Linked DNA regions of Rhinolophus ferrumequinum. The protein of the gene in region 2 purifies or fractionates together with the protein of the main gene of each other region. This does not show direct contact. Links are inferred from orthologs where the notes say so. Each region holds a gene or a part of one and is shown on either strand. Other genes may lie near its edges.

Evidence for each region. Proteins that work in one complex are often made in the same cells at the same time.
Region 1: the proteins of PHF1 (region 2) and EED purify together in Homo sapiens (affinity purification with mass spectrometry; 8 studies listed by BioGRID and IntAct, with this or other methods). This does not show direct contact. The link is inferred for Rhinolophus ferrumequinum from reciprocal best matches to the Homo sapiens genes PHF1 and EED.

The regions. Positions count from the first base shown.
Region 1 is NC_046294.1:59,083,737-59,094,364, reverse strand, and holds the start of EED (polycomb protein EED), read right to left. Parts: upstream 4,955-10,628; 5' UTR 4,107-4,954; coding exon 3,993-4,106; intron 1-3,992. UniProt on the Homo sapiens protein: Polycomb group (PcG) protein. Component of the PRC2/EED-EZH2 complex, which methylates 'Lys-9' and 'Lys-27' of histone H3, leading to transcriptional repression of the affected target gene.
Region 2 is NC_046286.1:3,720,312-3,730,817, reverse strand, and holds the start of PHF1 (PHD finger protein 1), read right to left. Parts: upstream 4,938-10,506; 5' UTR 4,318-4,937; intron 3,566-4,317; 5' UTR 3,549-3,565; coding exon 3,390-3,548; intron 3,304-3,389; coding exon 3,222-3,303; intron 3,114-3,221; coding exon 3,018-3,113; intron 2,584-3,017; coding exon 2,483-2,583; intron 2,385-2,482; coding exon 2,236-2,384; intron 2,059-2,235; coding exon 1,963-2,058; intron 1,753-1,962; coding exon 1,684-1,752; intron 1,546-1,683; coding exon 1,422-1,545; intron 1,314-1,421; coding exon 1,246-1,313; intron 1,085-1,245; coding exon 980-1,084; intron 860-979; coding exon 673-859; intron 588-672; coding exon 493-587; intron 230-492; coding exon 149-229; intron 1-148. Other genes in the region: kinesin-like protein KIFC1, read right to left, coding at 5,898-5,942, 8,464-8,539, 8,656-8,729, 8,819-9,109, 9,754-10,506. UniProt on the Homo sapiens protein: Polycomb group (PcG) that specifically binds histone H3 trimethylated at 'Lys-36' (H3K36me3) and recruits the PRC2 complex. Involved in DNA damage response and is recruited at double-strand breaks (DSBs).

The DNA of each region.
Region 1 (10,628 bases), on a different chromosome or scaffold from region 2:
TAAAAAAAAATACACCATTATTCTGGAACATACAATCTGGGGTGAAAAAAGGAATAAAGTATGGATAGATGGCACACAATAACTGCTCGATAAAAATCTGAATTGTAATTTAATGTAAATGTAAAATTTTAAAGTTCCTAGGTTGAAATCACTGTTTTTCTCTCCCAATTTCTCCCTACCTTTCCGTTTTATTTAGGTAGAATCGAGTGTAGAAAACAATTTTGCATTTCAATGGAAAATTATGCATTATCTTTATAATACATTCTTCCATGTTATATTATAGCCCTCTTAGTTGCCTTTAAACAATTTTTCATCTCTTTAAGTTGTAGATCACTGGTAATACAAATTTTCTCTCTAATGGTAGAGGTTCAAAATGTCTTCCCTTCCTCTTAAAAAAAATTCATTTTTGTCTCCATTTGGAATTTCACATTTACATTCTTTCAATCCATGTAAATTTGTATTGTTTGACTTACATTTGCCTGGTTCCCTCATGAATAAAATAAAATTTTAACACGTTCACTTACTTTTCTGAAAATTACCTTTTAACAGTACAGAATGAAATAATAGAACTAGCACAAATTTTTTCAGCAGCTTCTGTTTTTTTATTTAAATTTATTGGGGTGACAATTGTTATTAAAATTACATAGATTTCAGGTGTGCAATTCTATATCACATCATCTATAAATTACATTGTGTGTTCACCACCCAGAGTCAGTTCTCCTTCCATCACCTGATCCCCCTTACCCTCATCACCCACCCCCCACCCCTTTACCTTCTGGTAACCGCTAAATTACGTTCCCCAGATTAATTTTCAAACCCCGTGGCCATCCTGTGGTCACCGACTGCCCTTCAATCCCTTCACCCGCCCCCGCCCCCCCAGCAGCTTCTTTACTTTCTGGCTAAACTCAACTGCTAATCAAGAAGCCAAACAAAACACTGTCTATAACAAGGCACGTTGCATTTCTTTTCTTCCTTTATTTTTGAGCGCTTAATTTACCCATCTTCTCCAAAGGCATATCAAGATGGAATCAAATGGAAATGCAATGTATTCACAACCATTTCATTTTATCTTTAAATTAAAATCAAACCTTTGTTGAGTGTCTAGTATGTATACAGGCTGATTTTCACCTTGGCCCCTCCTGAACGTATAAAATGACACTGTGCAACAGATATGGCACTATCATCTTCATTTGCCCAACAAGGAAACGAAGTAATTTGTCCCTTAATCTTGCCACAGATTACTTAAGCAAAAGACAAGTCTCCAAATTTAGCCCTCTGATACCACCAGGCAACCATTAGTTCTCTTGAACTAACTACTCTGTAGTCATACGATCTTTAAAAAGTTCAATAAAATGGCAGATACATATATAATAAACATATTGAATGTTAACTAGACTTATTGTGGTGGTCATTTCACAAGGTATACAAATATCAAATCATTATGCTGTACACCCAAAATTAATGTTATATGCCAATTACACCTCAAAAAAACAAATGTCCTTTTAATCCTGATTCACTTAAAGTAGCAACTACTCAGGTTACCTTACCTCCAACTCAAAAACACCACATCCTTTCCCCACTTGCTTTTGGTCTTCTTGTCATCATTCAGCTCCCTCAAGAGTAAAACCACTGCCATTGTTTGCTTTTTCTGAAGTCATTTTTTTTTTAACTTTTATTTATTTTAAGTGTGTTTTTCCAGGACCCATCAGCTCCAAGTCAAGTAGTTGTTTCAATCTAGTTGTGGAGGGCGCAGCGCACAGTGGCCCACGTGGGAATCGAACCAGCAACCTGTTGTTAAGAGCACCGAGCTCTAACCAACTGAGCTAACCTGCCGCCCCGCGGCCGCCCCTAAAGTCATTTTTATACAGCATTCTCTATTCCCTTCCCTTAACCTGTGTCCAATATCTGTGTGATCCTTAGATAAATTCCTAGGGCCTGTGAATTGAAATGATCCAAAAGAAAACAAAAGGCATTTTAATTTTCACCACCTTTATCTGAAATTCAGCACTTTCTACTGTAATGGAGGTAACATACGTACTAATGTTATTGTAGCTGTGACTTTCTTACCAATGGAAACCAGGTATTTTTATATCATATAGCTGTTGCAGACCTCAAATATTATGTATCCCCCTTACTATCAGACGTGCCGCTAGATCTAGTTACTTAATGTGCTAAAGAAGCACTTTAAACACTTTATATTAAAGTAGTTCAATTAAAACAAATCTTAAATTTGTTTTTAAAATATTTTTATAACATATTTTAAAATTTTATCACTGATTTTGTATGTAACCTCATATACTTTATACACTTAAAAAATGTTATTCTGAGAAGGCTTCACAGTATTCATTAAGCTGTAAAGAAAGTAAACTTTCAATTTATTTGGTCCTTGGAAATCTTCCTCAGTCTGACTTTCTTAATTACATTTCTGCCTGATCGTTTGTTATGTGGAAGTCTACACTTTGTGATCACAAAATAACTAATAGTAATTAAATAACACTTCTATAAACTTATTATGAGACAGGCATTCTTTTAAGCACTTTACCTATACTAACTTCATTTAATCCTCACAAATACTCCACGAGGTAAACATATTACCTCCATTTTTAAGAAACTGAGGGAACTAGCTCAAGTACCTTGCTCAAGGTCAAGCAACCAGTAAGTAGCCGAGTTAAGATTTTAATTTAACATTTGGATCCAGTGTGTGCTCCTAATTACTAACCTAATTGCCTAAAAAAGGCAGAAATAAAACAGGCTCCAAGGACTGGAATGAAAGGCATAAAAAATGCTATTTTTTATATACATATATAAAATTGGGAAAAACAAACAAAATTTAACATGCAATGCCTAAGATTTCCAGAAATTTCAAGTCCAAATCCCACAAACTGACAATTTCCTAAATATCTTTCTTCTATTTACAAAAAGAATTCTTTTCCACGTCTTCAGTGAAAATTCTGGTCATGACACCATGCCACATATGCTTCAACAAGTGATGTAATTGAGATGCAGAATTTAAAAACTGGGTAAGAGGTTAGTTACATCTATTCCTAAAACTAGCCAAACTGAGAAAATGAAGAACTTAACACCACCCTCCTATAACACTTTAAAGATTTTAAATCGACACTCAGACATGTATCATGAAAAGGGGTTCACATTTTGGAGTAATTAACATCTCTGAATAAACTGTCAAGACATTTTGCTGACTTTATTGGATATAAACTTAAAACATGAATGAAACTGACAATTAATGTCAATTCGTTTATTACCTGCGTCTCACCTAAACACAATTGGGACTAGATGATTACCAGAGTTCTTTTTTAAAAATCCACGAGCCCACACCTAAAGACATGTCCCTTCACCACCGTTGCCTAAAATCTTCCAGTTTGTCCCCTTTATCTTTGTAAACTCTTTCAAAAGGCTAACCGTCCCTTCTCCTTCCTTCCTCAAGGAGGGTTTCCCCCTCAAAGTCAGAAGACGACCCTCTCAACTCTGCTCCTCCTTAAAACAGCCGACTAACCTCCACGGACAGGATGGTAGCAGACACAAAACCCCCTTTACAATAATCACCGAAACTCCTTAAGATCTCCTCTTCCCATCAGCTGTCTGCAAGGGTCTAGGAGTGACATGGTCCCTGAATTCCTGTAAAAGAGTCCGTAACATACCCTGGCCTTTCCTTCTAACTTTCTCAGAAAACCTCTAAGTTGCCTTTTAAACTACTGGAATCTCAGCTCCGCACTCTCCCCAAATCCCCCAAAGGCCCAAACACTCCCCACCCACGCAAAAGGATCTTTCCGCCAAGTTTCTTCTTGCTTTCGGCCCCAACTCAAACCCCCACAGAAACAAGTTCGATTTTCTCCTCCACGCCCGCGTTTTCCTGAGTAGAGGGTGACACCTCTCCCTCCCCCCACAGCCGCCCGCCCCCGCTTCTACAGTTTAAAAAGAATTTAAAACTTTCACTCCAGAGTCCCATCCGGACTGCTCAGGGCTCTACTCACATTCTCATCCCCAGAGAGGTCCGGGTTGCTGTTCTCGTCGCTACTCAGCTTCTGCTTCTTGGCCGCAGGCATGTCTGTTCCCGCCGGGGCTGTCGACACTTCCCTCTCGGACATATTCCTCCGCCTCCCTCCAGGTTCCTGCCGCCTGGGGCGGGGCCTCCGCCACACCGCCGTCAAGCAAGCCCGGCCGGAGCTTGCCGCAAAGTTGCCACTGCCGCCGCCACCTCCACCGCTCCCCCCACTGTCGCAAACCGCGCCCAGCCGCCGAGGCGGGCGTGCGTGCGACCCCGCCACACTGCTGAAAAAGGGGCGCGCGCTCGCGCGCCCTCCCACGCGGCTTCCTGGCTGCTTCCCTCTCCCTATTCCCGTCTTGCCCTTTTCCCGCCGCCCTCCCGGCAGTTTGCAGGGAGAGGTGTGACCCGTTGGCTTTCGAGGGCAGTATTTAGTAGGTCCCCCTTCCCCACTACCGCCTCGAAAAAGGAGAGGTGGAACTCAAAGGGATGTCCCCTCACCCCCTTCCTCCTTCCAAAGACGTTTCAGCCGCAATTGGCCCAATCCTTCGATCCCCGACCCGCTGCAAGGACTCGAAAGTCTGTGGAATGGACTAGACCACCAATGTCCCAGGGGACGGGGAAGATATGAGAAATCACCTCTTGCTTTAACGGTGTATGTCAAGTGTCCTTAATTTTGAACTCGGAGGATAACGCTCTCACATTATTCATGGTATTGTTTACTATCTAATTTTTTGTTAAGAATAGAAATTCAAAAACTATAGACTGCTTCTCATGTGCCTCCCCCGCCAAGCAAATGGAAGTTACCCGCTAAGATGTGCGCATGCGCCGGGGCGTATTCTCGCGCTGGGTTGCCCGAACCCGCCTCCGTCAAGCCCCTCCTCTTGGAAGTCTTACTGAACCAGGTAGTCTTCCACCGGGTTTCCGTAGCCTAGGGTGGATTTCAAAGCGCTACCAAATCATAGTCTATGGACGCATCCTAAACTCTTGATGAATATTTATTCTGATGAATATGTATTGCGATGAATGATTGCCCTCACCCAGTTGGTGCCAACATTGAGTAAGGTTTAAGTAGGAATATCCAAAAATTACATTCTAGACTCCAATGAGTTACAGCCCAAAGTGCTCTTTTTAACTGTTACACAGGATTATCAAGGCCTTGAACAAGGCCCAGGCCTAAAAATCAATGGTTATCTCCAACTATGTATGAGACTGTTAAACGATGGACAATATTTTTTGGCGCACCAGATACGATAAAATTTTAGAAGTAGGCAAGGAAACTATTCACCAAAAAAGTTTATCTTTAAATGTTACCATGTCTAGGCGCTTGACAGATGCCAAATACATTGGTGAGCCTCGGTGGATTTGTTAGATGGGTCATTAAGCCACAAAACCGAATGAACAGCAGAAAAAGGAGAATGACAAATAAGAACCCCTCTCCCTTTTTTTATAATTTGGTTGTGACTATTTTGGGGGGCCTCTTTGCCCTCATCTGTAAAAATGAGAAGACAGGAAGGGACCTAACATTTCTTGAGCACCTACTTGATATTATATTTTTTCTTTCTTAAAATTTTATTTACCTATTTATCTATCTATTTATTTATTTATTTATTTTTAAATGCGAGGTGTTTCCCGCATGGTTTGTCTCTTCAGTCATTGTCCACAGGACTCTGAGAAGCTGTAGGAATATGCAGGCGCAGACTCAAGGCTCAGCTTTATCTCCAACGTTGTGGAAAGGGACTGTACATCATGGGGCAGAGCCCTATGTTCCCCTACACCACTTGGACAGAGCCCCTGGGAGTGACCTCCTGGAGGTACCCAGTTGGATATATATTTTTCTCTTTTAAACCTCATTACATCGCCCAAAGGATAACCAGTATAGAGTACCCCAGCCATAAAATTCTAGGGTACTGAATTACTTCTGCATGATGCCTTAATAGAGAAAATATCTGCAGATTGCAAGGTACTCTTCCTTTTGGAGCTAAGAGAACTCAGTTAAGAATGAGAAAAGGAAGGTAAAGCAAAGGCAGGGCAGATTAAGAGGTTTTTTCAATGAAGACTCAAGAAAAACAAGGAAGCTAAAACAAATGAAAGTTCAAGTCTTAGTAATGTTAATTGCAGTAATTTGTTGAACTCTTCTAATGTGCCAGGCACTGCTAAGCACTCCTCAGTTGGTGAGAGAGACTGACTGGTATGGTGTCAGACTCGTACGGTATGGTATGGTTTCTTAATTTTGAGAAAGTAAAATGTGCCTTTGTATGACATTTTCATGCAGAGAAACAGCAGAGAAACATACTCCCCTTGTCTGTTGAGAAGAATGTTTGTGAATATATCTCTACAAATAAAGGATAATCAACTAAAGCATTTCCAAACCAAATTAAAATGTGTGACATCAGTGGGAGCTGGGAAGTAGGAAACAACTTTTAGTAATAAAGTTAGAAAAGTGCTGAATATTTGGGTAAAAGACACATATGGAAGGATAATGCCTTTCAGCAAGCATGTTATGGGTAGCAAAGCAAAAATATTTTTAACTATTGTTATTAAAACTTGGAGGGATATTTTTAAATTTTTCTGATGAGTCAGGGATCATAAATGGAAATCAGTTAATATTCATTATTACTAATGTTAAAAAAAAGATTGACACTTATTAAAACAGCAAGGAATTTTACCAGGGATTATTGTAATAAGTGTCAAGACTATTGCAGTGAGAGAGAGAGAGATAGGGCTCAACTCTGAATACAGAAAGGCGAGGGTTTTTTAATCCAGGAGCAGAGTCGGGGATGAAGGAGTTCAGAATGTGCCACCACAATATGCTGCTTGGTATATTGATTATTTTGAACTGAAGGTACTTGAGAAACAAGTATGCTCTGAACTCCCCTTATCTGCCTAAAGACAGACCCTCCAAAAGGAACTCAACTGTCATAAATCCCCTCCCCAGGAGTTTCATCAAACAGGGAAAATTGACTCTTATCACAGAAGAGATTAGAAGTCCATACCACACCCATTCATCTAAGGGCCCATTTATCTTTCCAAACTGTCATTTACTCTCCCTTACGTGGTATACATCCCTTGCTTTCCCCTACTTTGATGGTATGAGCTCTCAAATCTCACTGCTTTTTTTTTTTTTTGGCTATCCACTTTTTCCCCCTGTGATGCTCTTGCACATGCAATATTAAAAATTAATAAATTTGTATACCTTTCCTCCTGGTAACCTGCCTGTTGTCAGTTTATTTCATAGATCCAGCTATCAAACCTCGGGGGGTAAAGGGAAACTTTCCTCCCCTACAGGGATTGGTGGGTGGAAACTTACTAGAGGAGACATCAAGGAGAGGGGGCTTCTTCCTAAAGCAACTTGCCAGGGTGATCAGATACATCGAGGGTGAGGGATGAGGAATTTGATCAGTTATCAAGGGTGATCAGATAACAAGAGGGAAAGATTCTTTCAACTGACTTAGCAGAATTCTTACTACATCTGGACTAGGCAGGCAAAGACTCAGGCGCAATGCCTAGTTGAGAGGAGAACTCAGAGGAGCCTGACCAAAGTTTGTTCAAGGAGAGAGTCTTTGTTACTAATTTCACATATGTAAAATACCGCAGGTTTCCTATTCAGCATGCTATCTTTATGGTATTAATTTAATAAACACAAAAGCTTAATTACCTATTAAAAAACTGTAAATTTTTAACACTGAATTCTCCTACTGTAAAGGATTTCGGGAGCCATCATAGGTGGAGAGGTATTACTACCCACATTTCACAAATGTGTGAACTGTGGCTTAGTGAAATCAACCAATTAGCCCCCAAACACAGCTCTCTTCAAAATAGCTAGGGATCTTATTTAAGCATGACTGATTGAAAAACCAAAGTACTTTTGCCTCAAGATGGACCCAGTCATCTCTAGGTTTATGTAATTCTTTTCTCAGAGCTTGATCTTTAGACCATGTAATCTTTCATACACTATCGAAGGACATATAAAAACTGTCTTGCTTGGGACAGAGAGGAAATAACTGGAGAAACTGGGGAAATCTAAATAAAGTCTGCAGCTTAGTGAATAGTTACGTATATATTTCAATTTCTTAATTTTAACAAATGTACCATGACAATGTAAGATGTTAACAGTGAGGGAAACTGGATGAGGGGTATACAGAACGCTCTACTATCTTTGCAACTTTTCTGTAAAAGTATCCCTCCCCCCCAAAAAAACCTCTTTAGTTCTTTTTTTTTTTTTTTAAGTGGATCTAATATTAGACTGCTGAGACCTCTAGTCAGAAATGCCTTTTTGCCTTTAAATAAATGGTTGTTCTACCTTGGAAAATTTTCAAAGATCAATTATTTATAAAGAAAAAGAAAATTCACAGCCTCGGTATTGTCTTCTAGTATCTTTTAAGCTTCATATCAGGAAATGAGTTTCAAAAGCTAAACTAAATCCTTCCCATTTCAGTTGAAGTCTATTTCTCATTCACTCAACATTTTTTTGTCTTTTCAGCTTCATAGCAGCTGTTCATCATCACTCATGCAGTGTGTAATCATATGCTCACAGATCCAGTTTTCTATGGATCTGCGAGCATATGAACAGAACATCATATGGCTTCTTTGAACATTTTAAAATCAATCAGAAGGAATTTACTGAATGTCATTTATGTGCAAAGCAGTATGGTAATTGCAGGGGAAGGGAGGAGATAAAAAGGGAAAATTAGACACAGTCTCTAGTACCTTCAAAAAACCTAATATTCTTCCTGCACTACAAATGCCTCATGCATTTAATAAATGTTTACTGAGTACCCACTATGTGCCAGGCACTGTTCTAGGTGCTGGGAATCCTTGATAATAAGCAAAATCAGACAGTTTCCTATTGTCCTATACTCATAGGTTACTGTTCACTGGGGGAAACAAACATTAACCAAATGTTCGCACAAATAAATACACAATTACAACTGTGGTGAGTACTATAATATGATGGGGAAGTACAAGGTCAGGCTGCTGCTTGCCAACATTGTATCTTTGTACTATTTTTTAAAAGGTGCCCCATAGAAACAATCCAGAGTAGGCAGTGTGTGGCACGCAGACAATGCCTTTGATGAATTAGAAAAAGGCAGCCCTTCTGGGTTGGCACAGGCCTGCTCCTGTGCAAGGCTTTGTGTGTATAGCACAAGCTGGATTTCAGCCGTTATCACCTCAGCTAGGAACCCTTGTTTAGATGAACAATTTACACAAGCATACATAGCAGCCCTACAAACAGTTTCGTGGACACATAATCAAGTGAGATTTGGGAGGGTTTCCCTGAGGAACAGACAGAAGAATTAGAACTAAAAGAAGAATGGGAGTTAACCAGGTGGAAGGGAAGAGAAAGAGAAACATTCCAGGGAGTGGTAACAGCACGTGCAAAGGCTCTGGGACAGGCTAGGAATATATGCCACTGGGAAACTGAAAGGTTAGTGCTGGTAAAGGACTGAAAAAGCGACAGGAGCTTGGTAACAGGTAATGCTAGAAAAGTAGAGGTCAGATCATGCAGGACCTTGTAGACCATCTTAAGATTACGATGTAAAAATATATCTCTTGCACAGAAAGAATTAGATAAAACACAGAAGGAATTAGAATGGCATTTATTCTATTTCAATTTTTTGTTGGAATTTCATTTATAATAGTGAAACGAACAGGTCCTAAGTATACAGTTTGATAAGTTTTGACATAGGGGTTGGTCAGTGTTTCCCTAGTAGAATCTGAGAGGCAGAGACAATCCAGTGGAGGCAAATGCTGTTTTACAAACACTAGAAAAAGTACACTCTATTGTGGATTAAGGAAAGTTTATGGAAATCTATGGTAGATTTCAGTCAATAAAATCTCCCTTTACGACTATGGAATGCCTTTGCTTACCAAGAACTGCCTTCTGATTGCTAGTTAACTTTTCTTGTTTCCTTGGTAATAGGAAGGAAGTGTGCTAAAGAGTGGACATTTGTTACTTTAGTCATTGGAGACGTATATTCCACGGCATAACTTTAGTACTTTGGCATATGATTTGTAAATAGGTGTCTTACTAATCTGAAAGGGAATGGATCGTGAAAAGCCTTATGTCATTGGTCTGTAAGTAATGGGTGGCCAAAGAAGAGTTTTTCCTTTGGTAGACAGCAGGGCGTAAGACTGGAGACAGCGAGATGAGTTTCAAAGCTGTTGCGACATCGCAGATCTGAACCAAGGCAGTGCCAACAAAGATGGAAAGTAAGGGGTTGTTTCTAGAGGTATTTCAGAAATAATATCAACAAGACATGGTATGTGAGGGTTGAAGCGAGAGAGTCATAGGATCACTTGGGTTTATAGCTGGACCAAATTTCTAGATAATTATCTAAGATAGGGAAAATAGAAACAGGTGAAATTTTTAACTTTTAGTGTTGAGTAAATAGACTTGATGTAATTTTACTTTTTCCCAAATCCAAATATGGTCTTCAAGGATAAATGCAAATGACAATGACTATCATTAACCTAAGAAAAGAGTTTTGTTGTTGTTTTTTTAATGGAGACAATTCTATAATATCTACATAAGAATGTCCAAACCTCCTGAGAATTTTGTTTTACTCCTCTGTGCTTCTGTGGGTGCTCCTGGAATCCTCCCTCCTCCCCCATCCTTCAAAAC
Region 2 (10,506 bases):
AAAAGGCAGTTGTGAGTCCAGACACAATAAGGACTGACGAGAAATGGAGGCCACAAGTGGATTAGAGGAATGAAGAAATGGTTGGAGACTGAGGATCTTAAGAACAGAGGCGAAGAGGGGTGTCACAGGTAAAGGGGTAGAATCTCACCTGTCTGGGGGTTCACCATCCCCAGAGGTCCCTGCGGTGCTGGCAGAGGGGTGGAAGGAAGCGAACATCCGGATGGGACTGCTGGGGTTGGGGAGAGGAGAGGCAAGACCTGACGTGGGGGAACAGGATGCTCCCCCCGAGAGGGGCAGAGCTCAAACACTGCCCCCACGGAACCCCATCCCCAGGACACTGGGGACCAGACACTGGTTCTAGAAGTCTCTAGGACAGGCAGTGGGTAGCCAAGGGGAGGAGGGACAAGAATTCTGGTGAGAAAATCCAGAGTAAGTACAATTGGAGGAGAGGTTCTAAGGGAACATCCGGTTGGAGGGTGGAGGAGCACTGACCTGGGCAGGCAGCGGGCGTCTGTGGGCCGGAAGTTGTAGCCGCTGCTGCCCTGGTAACTCTGGTTAGGGCTGGGGGGTGGCGGAGACACTGAGGCCTAGAAGGATGAGGAAGGGACTGAGAGAGAATCCTTGATTCCTTCCCATGCCACCATTTGCCCATGGAGTTCCCCGTCCATGTACCTGCAGTGCCCTCTGCAGACGAGCCCGCTCCCTCTGCTCCTGGGGCTCTGGCTGATTGCGCACTGCTGAGGATGGCCCCAGCTCCTCCATCTTCCCCTTCTGCCTCCTCAGGGGCTCTGGCTCCGACCTCCGGCGCTTCCCCAGGGGACGTGAGACCCCTCCCCCAGGGCCCTGCCCTGAAGGGAAGCTGTAAGAGGCCTCCTTATCCCCCCAGCCCCCTCCCGGACACCCCAAAGACCTCCCCATCTCCATACATATACCCCGATTAATACCCTGAGAATTTCCCCATCCCCCCTGGACCAGTGACCTGGTGGGAGCTCCATCTCCAGTAGGGGGCTCCACAGGAGGAGGGATCCGAGCATGGAGGCCAAACAAGCATTTCCTCTTCTTAATCTCCCTCCCTGAAATGAAGCTGGGGTGAGAAGAAAAATGATCCAGGGTCAGTGCTGCCATCACTCTTCCGCCACTACTCAGCCCTTTCCAGGGATGACCTTCCAGCTGAGTTGCAGTGCCTCCCCTCCCAGGCTTCCATTTCCACACCTCCATCTCTTTCTGAGCCTCTCCTCAACTTACCGGTCCTTGTGGCTGTTGAGTGCAGACAGGAGCTTGGAAGAACGTTCTCCCTTGGGGGTGTCTGAGAGCTGGGGGAAGGGAGGGAAAATGGGCTCAAGGGAGCTTGATTCTTCCCTCTCCCTTTTTTTCACATCTCCCTGTTCCACCTTAACACCCAAACCTTCACTCTTCCTTACCTCCCCAAGGAGCAAACTGTCCCAATTCTCAGAGGTGAAGGGGAGGATCTCACGGTCAAAATCAAAGTATTTTTTCTTACAGCAAACGCTGAGGTGATAGAGGACAAGATGGGCCACATCCACCCTGGAGAAACACTGAGGTGTCAAGGTTGTGGAAGCATTACAAAAGCCAGGGGAGTCCCGAGTGGGAGGCTGGGGCAGGTAGGGTGAAAAACAGGGTGTTGAGAGAGGAGTTACACAGGCCATGCCCAATCCAGCTCACCAGCGAAGCTGTAGCCTCCTGACCTTCTCAGGGCCCCCCCGACACACACAGCATTCAAACTCGTAGAACCTGGATGTGAGCAAGGAGAGGACATACCTTAGACAGGAAAACTATACCATGCTCTGGAGGACTCACAAGCACCCAAGGATGGGCGAATCAGTGAGAAACACTCCAGAGGTTGGGAAGAGAATGGATCTGGGGCAGGCGGGTGTGGGGGAACTGAGAGGGTGGGGAGAACAAGAGGGCCCCCTGGGCTCCTGGAGAGTGCCCTGGTCTCACCTGTCCCCATAGAGGAGAGGCTTGCTCAGACACTGGGTGCAGGCCTCATGGAACCACTGCAAGCAGCTCTGGCACTGCAGCATTTTCAGGTTCCACCTGAAGGGGACACGGGACTGGTGACCTCTAGACACTCCCTCCTTAACTGCCCCAACCCTGCTCACCACCTACTCCCACCCCCTTCAGCACTCCCCTCACCATTCTTTCTCCATTCCCTGGGGTTCCCCCACCACCACACTGTCACTCATTCATTAACCCCGCCCCCTCATTACTCACTCCCCAGGACCACCACAGTAACAGTAGCTCTGCTGCCGGTTGCTCAGATGTCCAGCATCCCAGTCCAGCCCCTTCAGTCCATATGGCAGAGATAGCTTCATGCCCAGCATGGCTCGGGCATAGGGGCCCTTCTTCAGTGCACCCCCCCTCTGCAGAGAGAGAACCGGCAGGCTGCTTCAGAGGGGTGGGGAGAGAAAGACTCGGGAGAGGCTGTGGGTGGGAGGCTCCCACAGGAAGATGCCTTTACCTTGGTGGCGATGGCAAAGATGCACTGGCGGCAGACCCAGGATGTGCCCTCTCCCTCTCCTGGGGCTGGGGCCCTTGGAACATGGCAGTCCTGGTGATAAGCTGAAGAATGATATTATCGATGGTAGAGCATTTATTGCATTGCAAACCTGCGTGTGCTAGGTATCAGGATAGGAAGAATCTTATCTCATTAATCCTTGACCATGGTCCTGGGGAGGGGGAGGGGTATTACCCTTATTTTACAGGTGAGAAAACTGAGGCTCCTAAAGGTTTAGGGACTTGCCCAAAGTCCTATGGTTTGAAAAGGGAGTATTTGAACCACCCTCTGCCTGCAAAGCTCACACAGCCCCATTCCATGGCTGCCTTTTCCTATGTTGGAAGGGAGTGAGACTATAGGTTCAAGGAGACTGGCCAGAGCAGTAGCTTGGGGACGGAGGCCAGAATAGGTGGCATAGGACCAGTCCTGGTGGGAAGGGTCAGAGACCGCCCAGAGGGCCTAGGGCAAGCTGGACCACTCAGGTGTCCTGCCCTCTCACCGTGGCGACACTTCTCACAGCTGACCAGCCGGTTCCCAGGGACCACAGTCTCAGAGCGACAGACACAGCAAAGGAATTCCTCCCCGGGGAGGGCAGCTATGAGGGAACACAGTGTCAAGGAACCTGTCCTTAGGTCCCCTTCTCTCCCCCAAGCCAGGTTTCTGTCTTCCATGGGAAGCCACTCCCAGGCCTCTAAGATCTCACCAGGGCTAATGTCTTTCCATAGAACCAGAAACTGGGAATCATCCTCAAACTGGACCAGACACACCTCCCGAGCACTGTCCACCTGGAATGGGTGAGCATAGAGGATGAAATGGGAATCAGCATTAGATAAGGGGAATGGGGAGAGGTGACAGGTCAGAAGGGTCTTACCTTCTTGATGGTCCCCAAGTATAACAGCCCATCTGTCCATCTGGCCAGCACATCTTGACCCTCCCAAAGTCGAGGCCTGGGGCCTGAGGTGGGAGCAGGGGAAGCTGGGTCCCAAAGTGGGGGGGCACCAGAGCGGCTCAGCCGGGGAGGCTGTGCCATTGCATCCTGGGGGGGGCCTAGCCAGAAGTGGAATGGGAGGAGAAGGTTATGAAAGCCAAGAAACCTTCCTTATTTGCCTATTTTTCTGTCAAGGACTGAAGCAGCTGCACACCCCCCCCCCCCACCAGTCTCCAAATCCCTGAGACACCTGGATAGGAAACCAATCAGCACCCCTCCCAAGCTTCTTGACTCCAGCTCTCCCAACTCTGGTGACTGCCTCTCCTCTCCCTAACGGCCCCCCCCACCCCCAACCTAGTTCTCTAGTTTCCCAGCTTCCAGACCTCCCCTGGGATATTATATCCTGGCCTTGAGATTTTAGCAGAAACAATGGTTGCAGAAGCAAAGGTTACCACTCAGTTTCTACTGTCACCTTCTCCTGCTGTTTAGAGGTATCATAATTGGGGTGCTCTGTTACCCAGAGATGTATTTTGGGAGCTTTTCCAGCGATGTTTTCCAGAGTAGAAACAGCTGCCTCCCTGGGCCCGCGTGTCTCATTCAGAACAATTATCCTGATGTCAGGTTATGTCAGGTCGCCCTCAAATTCGGGGCTCCCTGCCCTCGGGTTAGATAACTTCCCTGAGTGCCCCGGGAGGGGGGCGTGTCCCAGTCCCAGTCTCTATTACCCACGACCGCGAGTCCAACAGGGGACTTCAGTCGGCCCAGCCGGACCCGATGCCAGGGCGACGAGGCTCTCCCGCTGGCGCCCTGCGCGCCGACCCCCGGCTCCCTGCTCCCCCCCCACCACGAGCGCCTCCCGCCGCCTCCTTACCAGTGACAGCTGGGGACGCCGGGAGCTGGGCAGAGGCAGACGTGGGAGACCGAGGCGAACCCCCCGCGCCGGGAGGGCACGTCTGGGCGTCGGGGGGCGTGCAGGCAGAGGCCGGGGGGTCCCCAGGCCCAGCCCCTCCGTCCCGGCGGCTCTGGGGCGTATGACGCAGCAGCCAAAGCAGCGGCAGCGGCAGGAGGAGGCGGCGGGGGGAAGGAGGGGAGGGGAGGGGAGGGACAAACTGGCTCGGGGGGAGGGTGGTGGGAGGGGAGGACTGGGGGGAAGGAGGAGCCGGGGGGCGGGGGGACGGGCACTACTTCACCCCACCTCCCTCACCTCCAACAGGCCTGGAGGGCGCCGAGCCAGCGGCGGCCTCTCCGTTGGTGGGGCGGGCGGACAGTCTGACCTGGCGGGAAAGGGAATCCCCGAAGCCCCTTCTTCGGAAGGGAGACCCGCCCAGGGGGCAGGAGGGAATCCCCCGCCTCCCGGCAGCCCGCCCTCCGGATTGGCCCCAGCCCCATGCCACATCCGTTAACTGCCCCCCCAACCTCCATGGTCACTCCAAGTCCCGCCCCCGACCCCAGTTCACGACCCCGCCTTCCATTCACCCTTCCCTATGCCCCCTCCGCGCCCACCTCCCTCTAGTGCCCCGCCCTCCTCTCCCGCCTTTGCCCCCGCCCCACCCTCTAGGTGGCAAGTTGTCCCCCCTAGCTTCTGCGCACGCGTGACCCCTCCTGCGCGCGGCACCTGGGAGGGCCGAGCCCCTCCTTTCTGGGGCGGCGGCCGTTGGCTGTTGGCGCGACGGTCTCGGCGGGCGTGAGCCCCGCCCCGCACTTCCAGGGCCGGGGCGCCGACCAAGGAGGGCTAGAACCCAGGCGGTGACGCCGCCGAGAGCCAGCCAATGGGCAGCGGGCAGGGCCAGGCCTGGCCGTTCGAACGCGAAGGCCGGGAAAGGGCGGGAGGAAAGAGCCAGCAGTTAATGGGAGGGTGTGTCAGTCCCGTCCTTGGGTTCAGGTGGCCACCTTTCCGGAGCTAGGGTGGCCTGTGGCAAGCGGGGAAACAACTAGTGGCTGTGGATAGCTAGTGGGCACACCTCTTACCGTGTTTCCTCAAAAATAAGACCTAGCCGGACCATCAGCTCTAATGTTCTAATGTGTCTTTTGGAGCAAAAATTAATATAAGACCCAGTCTTATAATTTTTGCTCCAAAAGACGCATTAGGGCTTAGAGCTGATGGTCCAGCTAGATCTCATTTTCCGGGAAACATGGTAGGTGTGGACAACCAGGAAAGTATGGGAGCTGAAGGCCACTCAGGGTACAGCTTGTCAGGGAGAAAAGCAAAGTGCAGGCTTTTGCACTGCAAAACACAAATTGCTGGGCAGAGTGGACAGATCCACAGCCCCATATTTACAGATGTGAAAAATATGTCCTTTCTTGAGCAATTGCTAATAAAACCTTTATTTGAAAAAAAACCCAAAAAACTTTTCTTTATTTAATAGGTCCAGGTAACACAGTGCCCCCCCTTCCCCCCCCAAATCACCCTCTCAGCCCCAACCCCCCAACCCCCAGGATCTGGATCTGTTTTCATTTCCTGTTGGCCTGGGCAGTACCAATAACACACTGGTTCACCTGCGGGCAGGGGGGTTAGACAGGATAAAAAAATTTTCAGAGTAACCAACAGGCTGGGTTTCCCAAGATCAACCTCCCAATCCCCATGGTTGGTTCTATGTCCACTAGGCACACTAGGTCTGAAAGTGGTGAAAAGGCCTGAGAAGGGATGGGAGCCCCACCACACAGGAGCAGACAGAGAAGGAGCTTTCATTTCTAGCAATACTGTGGATTAGAGACCCCAAATCCTTCCCATCACTAGCGCTGAATAAACTAGATAGAACAATACCAACACTCATTTAGGAACCAAGGCTCCTTGGAAAATGAATGATTCCTAGTCTAGGGCAGGCAATGTACAAGATGAACCTAGAATAAAGACTACTGGGGACCTAAGGGACACAAGAGTCAATTTGAAAGAGCTCCCACTGGACAAAGATGGAGTAATTTGAGCATAAAAAGAATGAATGACAACTGACAAGGACACATATCAAATACATAAGCATCTGTAAAGATAACCCCTTGATAAAAACTCACTGTTTACCTTTGGAAGTTGCTAGAGTATCAATGTATACTTAAAATTGATAAAGAATTCAACATTTATCCCAACTTTCCTATATGGACTGAATTTTAGAGTAATCAAATAGATGGCAATAGGAAGCACTTTATAGAAGAATCTGGGCTAATTAAAGTAGAACTGAGAAAATCAGGAAATCATTTTTAAATAAAGTAAAATAAAGAATAGAAAAAAGAAAAAATAGGAAAAAACCAAAACTTTTTAAAAAGTAAAAATAAAAATCATCATCATCATCACCATTTTAACTCAATGAAACAATAGACCTAGGTATGATCATTGTTTGATCAAATCACTAGGTAAAAAAGTTGATAGGGAGTTTTTTAATGGATAGATCAGGCTGACAATACCCAAATCCAACGATCAATTTTTATATCATTGAAAGTGGAACAACTAGATATTAGGTGCCTCCTGCTATGATGCAATAGAACGTGTACAACCCCATGTAAGTTTTCTTGCTAAGAAATTTAAACCTGACTCAGATCTAATCAAGCCTCTAAACCTAACTCCTAAGACAACAACAATTATGGAAGAAAAAGGCAGCAACCAGCCCAAATCCAGGATATAGTTATTCCATAGGACAAATCACCCAATTTCTTCAACAAATAAATGCCATAAAAGAAGGCAGGGTTGTTATAGATGAAAAGAAACTTAAGAGATCATTTCAACCAAATAGTATGAGTAGCCCTTGCTTCGATCCTGATCAGAACAAACCAAAGTATAAAAGACATTTTCTGAGACAATCAGGTGAAATGTAATATAAACTGGGTATTAGAGGATATTAAAGAGTTCAAGTTGTTGGGTGTCAACGATTTGATATACCTTTAATTGAACTTGCAAGATAGCAAGGTAAATCCTGATTAAAGCAGAAGACCAGGTCAGGGTGCGAAGGCGGTTGACTACTTCCATGGCAACAACACAGGCTGAAGCCTGAGTGCGGCAGAAAGGCACACGTGATCAGAGACTCTTACTAAAGCCAGAACCCATCACAGGGTATAGTCTCAGGGAAAAAATTTCCCTCCAGAGGCAGACTGTAAAGAAACTTTCTGACTCAGCTCTAGAGGAGGGAACATAAGTCTCCTAGAGAGTTCATAGCCATGGCCATGGCTAACCCTCGTGGGGTTTGGAGCCTGAACTCACACTATTTGGAAAAACCTCTAAATCTCCTTTGATCCAGCAATCCCATTTCAAAGAATCCTTCCCTAGATAGATAGATGTAAGTAAGCAAATAGAAAATGACATATGTACAAGGTTAGTCAACATGGCCTTGTTTGTAACAGAAGAGGGGCGGAAACAATCCAAGTGCCTAATAGAGGTGATAAACGTCAGTGTATCCACAGTGGAGTCCTAGGCAAATATAAAAATAATGGGATGATTTCTGTGTGCCTGTGGGGAGTAATCTTCAGGTTGTCTTGTTAGGCGAAATAAAGTGTAGAATAACATAAATCTAAGAGAGGGAGAGAGATGTCTTTTACTCGTATGTAAGAAGGAGGGGAATAAGCACAAGTGTATTGCTTGTATTTGCAAAAGCAAACATTCGAAGAATAAAATGATAAGTGATAAAAATGACAGGTGGGGAGCATGGGGCGGACAGGAGTAGTATATAGCTTTATATGTAGTTTTGACCTTTTAACCACCTCTTTTTAAAATCTTAAAAATCCCTAAAAAGCCAACAGGTGAAAAATGGATCTATAGGGAATAGAGTCAATGGAATATATCAGTCAGAGGGGCAATAGATTGGGGGGGGGCGTTATCACTTTGTGAGGGATGAAATGGCTAGTGCATTCTTTTGTACACCTGAAACTAATTTAAAAAAAATGGATCTAGGTGGGTAGTGCCCCAGACGCCTGGCCAACATAAATCCTTTCTGGATCAATGTGCCCCTGGCCTAAAGGACAGAAGGGTTTGGGACAGAGAAGCCCACAGTCACCCAGGGGTCCTGACAGAGGCTGGGCTTGGTGGTAACCGCACCTTAGAGGCAAAGCGTAGGGAGTTGAGGGACTCGGAGACGTTCTCTTCTAGTGGGGAAATATTCACAAACATGAGCCTGTGGAGAGAGGAAAGGGGGCCAAAACCCTGCATTAGTGGCTGGTGGAGCCTGGACCCCGTTTCCCCTTTCCCACCCCTCACCCCAACATCACAGTTCCGACCCTTTCCACTCACATCTTGGCGCTGCCACCCAGAGAGTTCTGCAGCAGGTAGGTGAGCTTGCTGTTCCGGTATGGCACATGGGACTCCTAGCAGGTTGAGAGGGACAAGTGACTAGGCTAGGATCGGGTTCAGCATGGTCAGCTCCAGGCCCCACCTGACCCAGCCTCATTCCCACCTTGTTGCTCAAGGCCATGATGACCAGCCCCAGTGTGGACAGGCTGCTGTTAATGGCCTGTGTTTCCCGAAGACGCTCCCGCTCCCCAGGGCCAAGGGCTAAGCCGGGGTCTAGACGCTCGCTCCCAGCCAGGTCCACAAGATTGAGGCGGGCCCCACACTGTAGGCCTCGTCCAGTGTGCTCCCCAGAGATCTGCAGCTGGAACACACTGTGGCTGCGGGATGAGCGCTCGTTCTGGGCTGTGCGGGCCACAGCCCGGTTCTGGCGGGCCAGATGGAGCAGAGCCTCCACCTGGATGGGGAAGGGCAGGGCAGGGCAGGCAGAGGTCAGTACACAGTGGTGTCAGGTACGGCAATGCACAGGGGTCAGCACCGCCCTCTTGGAGCTTTATTTCTAGGCGGTGAAGAGACAAATAAGTAAAATATACAACATATCTGCAAGGACTAAGGAGTAAAATCAAACAGAAAAATAAGGAGTATCATGAGGGTAAGTAACGTGAGGCTGCAAGTTTAGGCAGGCTGGCTGGATCTTAAGGCAATGAGGGAGCAAGCCACTGCAGGAAAGGAACATTCAGGCAAAAGGAGACAGCGAGCAAAGGCCCTGAAACACGAGTGACCCGCGGGCTGAGGAGCCAGGTGGCCAGTGTGGCTAGTGTGGGAAGCAAGGAGAGCAGTAGGAAACGAGACCCGAGATCCCTGGTCAGGGAGCCAGCGACACCCCTGCTCCCGCAAGCTGCCTCTCCTCCCCACTCCCTGGTTCTGTTAAGGCAGAAGGACCTCACAGCCCACCGGCCAAAACTGAATGTGGCAACCAGTCCTTACAGCTCCCCTTTCCTTCACCCTTCACCTTTCACTGCTCCCTTCTCCATTCCACTCCATCTCTGTCCCCCTACCCACTGCTCCCCATTTTCCAGCCCAGTGCCCATCAGGGCTTACCTCTTTCTCACAGGAGACAGGAACATATCGGGCATTGGTGACAACAAGCTCCTCGCTCCCTGGCCCTACCCGGCGAATCTCACATTCACCCCCGTGGCCCTTCCGGGTCCCTGTGGCCAGCAGGTCTCGGACAGTCTCATTGTAGATCTCTACGTAGCTCGCCACAAAGCTGTAGGTCCAGCCCTGGCTACTCAGCTCCCCGGCCACAGAGAACAGGTGCCGCAGGGCCCGCGGGATCAGCCCCTCCACCTGGGGGTCTCCCCCAGGCCCACCCTCCATGGTGAAGGTCTTGCCGCTCCCCGTCTGGCCATAGGCAAAGATGCATACAGGGTAGCCATCCAGGGCTGACTGGACAAGCATGGCAATCTCCTCAAACACTTCGTCCTGTCCACTTCCTGGTGGGAATACCCGGTCAAAGGAGAAGTCATGGCGCGTGGGAGCAGCTGGCATCCCACTCAGGGTCCCACGCCGCTCATCAGACCGGAAGAGGCTGAGGTGGGTTGGAGGATCAGAGGGTCCACCAGGGCCAGAGGGAAACAGGAGGAAGCCAGGGGGTGGGGTGGGCTCCCCCAGAAGGACAGGGCGGACCCGGCAGAACACCCGGATGTTGCCTTTGAGCTCCTGTAGCTGGTTGTGGAGTCGCCGTCGCTCCATCTCTAGCCCATGGAGACGCTCTCCCCGCTCAGCCAGTGAGGCCGCCTGGGCTGCGGTCTCCCGGCGCAGAGATGCCACCTCCGCTTGGCTGTCTGACAG